Schizosaccharomyces pombe: one gene and its partner. The gene in region 2 interacts genetically with the main gene of each other region. Each region holds a gene or a part of one and is shown on either strand. Other genes may lie near its edges.

The links.
Region 1: mutations in deg1 (region 2) and trm61 together harm fitness more than expected from each alone (negative genetic interaction), as found in Schizosaccharomyces pombe (2 studies listed by BioGRID).

Annotation. Positions count from the first base shown.
Region 1 is NC_003424.3:1,991,738-1,996,696, reverse strand, and holds trm61 (tRNA (m1A) methyltransferase complex catalytic subunit Trm61), read right to left. Parts: upstream 3,041-4,959; 5' UTR 2,768-3,040; coding exon 1,673-2,767; 3' UTR 1,490-1,672; coding exon of another isoform or gene 549-1,489; 3' UTR 507-548; downstream 1-506. Other genes in the region: Swr1 complex/NuA4 histone acetyltransferase complex subunit Swc4, read left to right, coding at 14-219, 284-372, 429-506, 549-1,489; mitotic septin Spn4, read left to right, coding at 3,768-4,910. UniProt on the Schizosaccharomyces pombe protein: Catalytic subunit of tRNA (adenine-N(1)-)-methyltransferase, which catalyzes the formation of N(1)-methyladenine at position 58 (m1A58) in initiator methionyl-tRNA.
Region 2 is NC_003424.3:4,160,751-4,164,707, reverse strand, and holds deg1 (tRNA-pseudouridine synthase), read right to left. Parts: upstream 1,990-3,957; 5' UTR 1,909-1,989; coding exon 556-1,908; 3' UTR 501-555; downstream 1-500. Other genes in the region: dia4 (serine--tRNA (Ser) ligase), read left to right, coding at 1-51, 109-430; splicing suppressor Mss51, read left to right, coding at 2,720-3,856.

The DNA of each region.
Region 1 (4,959 bases), 2.2 Mb from region 2:
AGTTCAAAATACAATGACTAGTGCTGACATTCGGGATGTCTTTGAATTACCTCCTCCTGAAATAGGAAATAAGCAGAAATCTAAAACTCCAACAGAGAGAAGGCCAGAAGGAATTTCTCGAGAACTTTATTCATTGCTAGGCGAGAATTCTGCCCCGTTAGCAATATACCAAAAGAAATTTAAGGAAAAACCAAAAGTTAGTCACAAAGCTAAAAATTGGTGAGTAAATCAGAGCTCAAATAAATAAATTTGTGTATTCAGTAAGGAATTTACTAATTTGTAGGGTACGCCAGCCCTTTTCCATATCAAGCCGTAAGGATGATTTTACTTTGCATCATTGGGTCCTTAAATCAGAAGTAGATTCTGAAGCCTGTATGTTTGAAATTTTATTTGATAAGCGCTTGGTTAAACTAACCTAAACTGTGTAGCATACAAATTTGAAAAATTTAACGTCCCTCTGTTTATAATTGACTACACCGACGAAGAGTACCAAAATTATTTAAAAGGTTGAGATTCTCTACTATATTTCATTAACTAATTTGTTGTAGATGAGGATTGGAATAAAGATGAAACCGACTACCTATTCCGTTTATGCAAAGATTATGACTTGAGGTTCTTTGTAATAGCAGATCGTTATGATAATGAAAAATATAAAAAACATCGAACGCTTGAAGATTTAAAAGACAGATTTTATTCTGTGTCGCGAAAAATTCTATTAGCCAGGAATCCCATTAATTCAATGACTGCTGCACAGAGCTCTTTGTTGAATACGATGGAGTACAATAAAGAGCAAGAAGTTATTCGGAAGAAGTATCTAATTGGGCTTGCTTCTAGGACGCCTGAAGAAGTTGCAGAAGAAGAAGCTTTATTTATTGAATTAAAACGTATTGAAACATCACAGGCTAAATTATTAAGTGATAGAGACGAAGTTCTCCGTCTATTAGATGAACAGAAAGGAGATGGTGGCATTCATGAATATCACACAAGTGCTGGAATGAGCAGTTTAATTCAAGATATGATTAATTCTCAAAGAACCAAAAATAAAGTGGAGGAAGCTATTGTATCTTCTTCAGCCCCTTCTTCTGGAGTGTCTAGTGTTTTAAATACCCCTACTCGTCCACATGCTCTCAGCACACCAAGAATCAGATACGGTCCGCAACCGACAGATCCACAATTTGGCATCACTTGGCACGAAAAACTACATCCGGGCACTTTTGTTCGTTCCCAAAAAATCCCTGCCATAAAGGCTTCTTTATCGCAGAGAGTTTCGTCAGTTATGACTGAACTAGGAGTTTCTTCAAGGCTGATTATGCCGACAGCTAAAAACTTTGAGAAGTTCGTTGAGCTACAAAACTCAATCGTTTCGCTACTGGAACTGAAAAGAAAGGTAGATAGACTATCTCAGGAAACTGAAATTCAGGACAAGTTGAGCCGTAAACGCTCAGCTTCTCCTGACGGCTCCGAGAGTAAAAAGCACATAAGTCAATAATTCTATGACATTATACTCGATCTCAATTTGGGTAGTTACGTTTTTATAATAACAAGTTTTGAATGTTTGACGCGTTAATATTATTTTTTGTACCCTGTATGTCATTTACCGTGCCTGTGTGTCCTTTGGAGTACTTCGGCCTATTTTCACTAAATTTCTGTTTTGCATAAATATGAAAGTTATCTAAGGGCCTGTCTCCTGGTTCTGTTTATCTAGCTGAGATGGCAAATGCACCGCAAATAGCAAATAACTGGTGTGTGATTTTAAGTTAGAATCAACTCTTGCAACATCTGTCCATTCGTAATTTCCATCACCTTCTCTAATGCGTTTGTTAGTAACGGGCTTTAACGCCGTTTCTGTGGACACAGAAGACTTGTTTTCACCAAGCATTGAATCGTTATCTTGATCTTCTACCTTCGCATCAGAAGATAAGTTTTGTTCACGCCTCATTTTTCTTCTCTCAAATCCTTCGATCCTCCTTCTTTTAACCTCTTTTAGCCTATCGATTGCTTCGTCAATATGAACAATTCGACTCTTACGAGCAGCCCATTGCTTATAATCAACTTCAATCATTTCAATATCACACCAGCCAAGTTCTCGTAGTGCTTCAGCAGAATGTTGAATTTGTTCTATACAAGGAGAAAAACAACAAATTCGAGTGCTTTTATCATGATTTACATGATTCGAAAGATGCGGTATTGCTTCCCAGGGAGCTGGAAGGTCTAAAAATATAGCGTCAACCTTTACCTCCGTATCCAAAAAACCATCTTTGCAGACATCTCTATGAGTTAGATGAGTATTTCCACCCACATCAATTAACATCTCGTGTTCCCGAAATTCTTGTAACGCTGTTTGATAGCGAGTTGCGTGATATTCGAAAGTAAATAATCTTCCAAGAGGGCCGACTGTTCGCGATATTGCGTGTGACATGCTAGCACTACCAGTACCAGCTTCTATTACTCGGGTTCCGTAAGTGATACGAAGCTTTTGGTGGATTAAAGCAATATCTGGAGTGTAAACAATTTGTGTTCTGTGAGGAAGAGCGAGGGTCCATAGTTCCGGAGTTGGTTGAAGAAGGTAAATAAATCCTTGCTTCGCTGTAGATGCAATTTGCTCGCCGTACCTTTTACCAATCATTTCGGAATGTGGGAAGGCACCATATTGATTATGAAATGTTTTTTCAGCTTCTATATGTAAAGGAATCAACTTGTTCCTACCAATCCAAGCTACTGCCAAATCGCCATTTTCAACACGTTGTTTATAGTCTGCAAATACCATTATAAATTTCAAAAAAACATATAATATATATATATATATATGTATTACGAAAAATTAGAAGGTAGTGTTATTTAATTGCGTTTTAACAAATCAATATAATTAGCCAAAGAAAAATTGGGACTTAATTTTTCGTTGGTCTAAATTACCGGGTGCATTCACGATTATTGAAGAGTTAATAAAATAAGTCAGTGTGAAGTATATGAAGATCCGCTCAAATCTGTAATTTTAAATCATACAAGACTGAAGTAAAGAAGTTTTTAAAACTAATGTGTTGAGATAAATTTTTTTAGTCTTTTCAAGATATTATGGTTAACCTATCCCTACGCCCACTATGCTATTATTTTAGTTAACATTTGTTTAGTGTAGCCATGTTTCATTAGTTAAATATTAATAACGATATCTCACATTAACTCTCAAAGCTACGAACGTAAAATTCGTTAAATAATTTAGAAAATGCTATCAATGCTGCCGTTAATTACTATGCTGCCACGAATTAACTTTACACTGCAACAAGTTAGTACTTGTATATCAACTAAAACAACGATTTTGATCATCATATTACCTGTGTAGTAACTATTTTCTTGAACAATATAATGAACATTAAATCAATAACTTAAATGCATACTTCCCAGCAATCTATTTCTGTTACGTAGTATAGAGGTTTTTATATATTTGCCAAGCATAATTTCTGGCATTCAGAATCTTTATGAAATTTAATGAGCAAACTAGTAATGATAGTTAGTATATTTACGAGACGAAAGCCCGTTAAAAATATAATGAGGTATAGTGATCATATAGTTATATCGCTAACGAGTGATTGCAACGAAGCTTCGATTATCTATTTACTTAGACCTTCCGTTTTTTACCATTTATGCTTTAATAAAACTAATAACAATTCTCTTGCATTTTTTGGAAACTTTTTTATTTAGTTTGGAAGCTTTTAAGTCAATATTTTACAGACCGTTAAACAAAGGAAATATACTATTCATCTCTGCGCGTCATGAATGAAGAAGAGACAAACTTCGTTGGAATTGCGGATTTACCTAATCAGCGTCACAAAATAGTTTCACGAAATGGTGTAGCTTTCACTTTGATGCTTTGTGGAGAGTCGGGTCTTGGTAAAACAACATTTTGTAATACACTCTTTTCAACAACAATTAAATCACATATGGGCCCGGAAAAGGTTCGTGCGAAGCATGCTGAGAAAACGGTCGAAATAGAGATTACAAAAGCTGAGTTAGAAGAAAAAAATTTCCACTTAAGGTTGACAGTAATTGATACCCCTGGTTTTGGGGATTTTATCAATAATTCAGGATGTTGGGAGTCGGTAGTTGAATTTATAGAAGACCAGCATGAATCGTACATGAGACAAGATCAGCAGCCAGATCGTCGTAAGATCATTGATATGCGTATTCATGCTTGCCTATATTTTTTGCGTCCCGTAAGAAATGGTGTTCGGCCTATGGATTTGGAGGCTATGAAACATATTTCTAAGCGTGTCAATTTAATTCCTGTCATAGCTAAAGCCGATATGTATACTCGAAGGGATTTAGCTCTGTATAAAACTAGAATTTCTCAAGTTTTAGAATACCATCAAGTCAATGTTTATAAACCTAATATGGATGAGGGCGATCCCGTTTTTCACAGACAAATTCAAGGAATCATTAATTGCATGCCATTCGCGATTGTTGGAAGCGAAGATGACATCCGTACTCCTGATGGTAGGGTCGTTAAGGGTAGAGAATACCCATGGGGAATTGTTGAAATTGAGAACGAAGAACACTGCGACTTTAAACAGCTTAGGAATATTTTAATTCGGAGTTGTATGCTTGATTTGATTCAAACTACTGAAGAAAAGTTGTATGAGCAATATCGACAAGAGCAGATGAAAGTTCGCCAGTATGGAGAACCTAAACTGCGGACTATTGATAATGCGAAATTTAAGGAAGAAGAAGAAAATTTGAGAAAAAGATTTACAGAACAAGTGCGCGTAGAAGAAACTCGATTTCGACAATGGGAACAACGCTTGATTGCCGAACGCGACTCATTAAATAAAGATTTGGAAGCTCAGCATGTTCAAATAAAACAAATTGAACTTGAAATCGAACGACTAAAGGCGGCTACCAGCTCTCGCAAACGTTAGAGATAATGTTAAAATATAACGAAACTTGATACCCAATTATCATTTGGGT
Region 2 (3,957 bases):
GATTGTTAATTTTCAAAAAGAGTTTGTAGAAACTTTAAAAATACCCGCAAGGTACATATCAAATCTAACAAAAATACCACTTTAATGATCTAATGCTAACGAATATAGAATTTTGAATATGCCAACTGCGGAATTGGGATCTTCGGCCTCTCAAAAATATGACATCGAAGCGTGGATGCCAGCGCGACAATCATACGGGGAGATAACTTCAGCATCTAATTGTCTTGAATACCAAGCTAGGCGTCTACTCACACGATATCGAAATGACAAAGACTCGGGTTTTGTTCACACACTGAACGGCACAGCAGCTGCCATCCCTAGGTTAATAATAGCTATCCTTGAAAATCACCAACAAGAGGATGGCACTGTTAAAGTTCCGGAAACCCTTGTCCCTTACATACACAAGGAATACCTTTTTAAAGCAAAATAATTTTAGTACATCATAAGTCTTACTTACAACTAATTATTTAAGAAGGTTATACTAAAATTGATAATATATTTTGGACCAAAATAAAATTAGCAATTAACCTAAAACCTGTTCTGTCATAAGACAATCTATTTAATATTTTCACTCTTCACGTCACTGTCTTTTAAACCTTTTTTACGTTTATATCTTTCATTGACGACCTCCACTGATTCCTGACGTTGTCTAGAAAGAATTGGGATGTACTTTTTTGTTCGCTTCAGCAATCCTTCACCAACGTTCATAGTACTGCTTGACTCTTCCGATTTGCCATATCTTTTTACATTATGATCTGCTATGTCAAGCATAAACGAAGCTATCTGCTCTCGAATACGTAGACTATGCCACTGATGATATATGGTTTCATATGTATGTTTAGCGATACGAGGAGCAGTCGTAGGACTATCCGTAGGTAGTGTCCATTCAATATTATCAAAGTCACAGTCGTACAAAATCAAAGGATACTCACTTGCCATATCATAAATTGGCTTAGTAGGGACCTTTTTAATATCCAAAAGATCATTGATGAGAGAGGCCGGCTCAAGCTTTTGACCAATTAAAAATAGAATGGCCATCATACATCGTACCTGATGCCATAAAAATGCAGTTCCTTGTAGGTCAAAAGCGTAAAGACCGGTACTGGGATCAATGCAAATAACCTTTGAACTGAGAATTCGACGGTGATAATTTGTAATTTGTTTAGAAGCATCTATTTTGCAAAAATTTCGAAAGTCATGCTCACCTAGATAAAGTGCTGCGGCTTCATTCATTCGATCAATGTCAAGAGAACCACCGGGATAATCCTTAGTAAACAAGTATTTATAATGACGCTGTTTACAGGAAAATCGAGCATCAAAGCCTTCTGGTGGAAATGCATAGCCAGTAATACGTATATCTGCGGGCAACAGGCGATTCAATACATCACAATATATGATAGGTCTTCTTTCTGAATGTCGTACATTTAATGATATAACCTGACCCATGGCTGAAACTCCCTTATCAGTACGTCCACATCGACTAAAGGAACATGATGAAGGATCAGTGATGAGATGAGCTCTCAACAGCGCTTCAAACACCTTTCCTTCAACAGTGGGCAAAGGAGTCGGTTCTAACTGGTAGGCAAGACCATTGTAATTCCAACCACAATAGGCAAATTTAAAAGCAACAAAAACTGTTTTTTCTAGTTGAAACGGTCTGACAGGTTTCAGTTTTGGAAGACTACTTGCGTCCTGAAGCGCATGTTGCAAAACTAGTTCTTGGCTCAGATGCTGGGGTTCTATTTCATTTCCATTATCCAATTTGTTTTTATTTTTAATTACTTCATTTTTCCCCTCAATTTCTTTATTGGGAAGTGAATTTGTATTTTTTTGCAATTTCCCGTCCAATTCTAAAATTCTGGATATTAGCTGGTCTCGAGACCATCCAGCATATTTGGAGGCGGGCATTCGAAGGATTTTAGAAAATTGAAAAATCTTGCCTGAATTATATTGCCAATTTAATTACTGCCTTTGACGAGGTCAGGTGGCAGACGAATAGGTTCGCAAGGCTCTGATAATTAATGACTTGCTTGTCATAAGAGGCAGACATTTTCGCAGTAAAGTTATAAATCATCTATGTAACATTGAGAATTTATCAGATATATTTTTAGTTGCTCATTAGTACAACAGCTTTGGGATTCTGTATGGTCAGTTTGCAGTCTTGTTGGGCCAGCTGGAACTGTTACTAAAATATTGAGTTCACTTTACATTACGAGCAATGAAAATTATAGAAGCTTAGATTAACACAGCTACTTTCGAGATGATTCGTATTCCTTATAGTTGCATTGTAGACTTCCAATAAAGAAAGTGCATTTCCCGTTATGCAATTGATTTACTAGATAGTTCTTTAATATCAACATTATTGAAAATCACCTCTTTGTTGAGTCAACTCAATACTTAATATTTTTTTAAAGAATAAAATTCGCTACTGAATGTCGGTTGCTAATGAACAAAGCAATTGCTTCTACGAACTAATTTGTTAATTTTTTTTACTAAGCATTTCAATAGTTTGCCTTGTTAACGTATTTTTTATGTTCCTTGACATTTTTAATTTTAGTTTCTTCGTCTGCTACTAAACACGTTCACCTAAATCAATACTTGTTAAATTTAGCTGCAACACCGACATAAAAATTTATTTCATTACCTATAGTTACATTGAAACCGGTAGAAGGTTGTTTTTTGGTTCAAGAGTGACGTTTCGCTTATATTTTTTTTACTTATGTCGTTTTTAAAAAATCTCTTCAAGAAGAAATCCCCAACTCATGAATTATTCCATCCTTTATCGCGTTCTCCCTTAACGGCTCTTCGCCGTCGCTCTGAGCATATCAAACAAGTCTATCGGTGTCCAATTTCGGGAAAGTCAGTGGAATATGAGTGTCCTGAATCTGGATTTCCTACTCATTGTAATAGAACTCATTGGGAACAGGACAAGATTCACCAATCCCTTATCCCAAAACTACGCCAAATTAATGAAGACTATCATGACTTAGCACGACCAAACCCTTTGCCGGAACTACTCAAACTTCCTGGACCCATGGAAGAAGATGAAGTAGTTTCTCTTCTGTCATGGGATTCATTCTTCTATACCCGCGATTTCCCAAAGTTCCAATCGTCTAGAACTGCTAGACATATTACTAGTTTATTAACATATCCCATGTCAATCGGCGCTATCCTTCACAAGAATTCTCCTTATAATTTAAAAAATGGGTTAACTCCCCAGGGTCTACAATCATTAACTGCTCTACGATATATGCTTCATCGTCCTTTGTCTGCTCAATCTACTGATCCCAGACCCACTAGAATTTTCGTTTTGGGTGCTACCAAAGAATGTTCATTACCACCATCAATTTGGTTACAAGGATTGAACTTTTTGTTCCCAGGTCGTTTATTTCAATTGCATTTTATCGGACCTGAAGTTGTTGTTCCTTCTAAGCAACCCAATTTGCCTTCCCCACTCAGCCTTCATTTTCATCAGGATTACTACCACAATTTGCATAGAGTTGGAGCCTTTGAGCCTTTTGACCCCTACTATGATACTTTTTTTCTTCCGATGCCTCTTATAAGTCATCCACTTTATTCTTCATCGTGGATTCCGACACTTCACGATTTGGTATCGACTCGTTGCTCTGTATGGCTCACAAGTCCTTCATCTCAAAGAACAACCAAAGATTTGGAAGTTCTTAATAATGTTTTGAAAGATTCAATTGAGCCCTTGTTATTGCCAACTGTTAATAAATTTGCCAGCTTAGGCTGGTCTGTTGATGATTCAAACCTTCATGAAGTTTATCACGCAAATCAAGAAGTATTTGGATTCAGAGCCCTTTATTATAATGTCCAAAATGTTTCCAAAGAGTAATTCTTGTCCGTTAAGTCGTCTACCATCTTCCAATTTCATATTCTAATCTAAAAGCAATCTATTAATGAATTTTAAGGTCCAAATTTTGGATTGTGAATAAA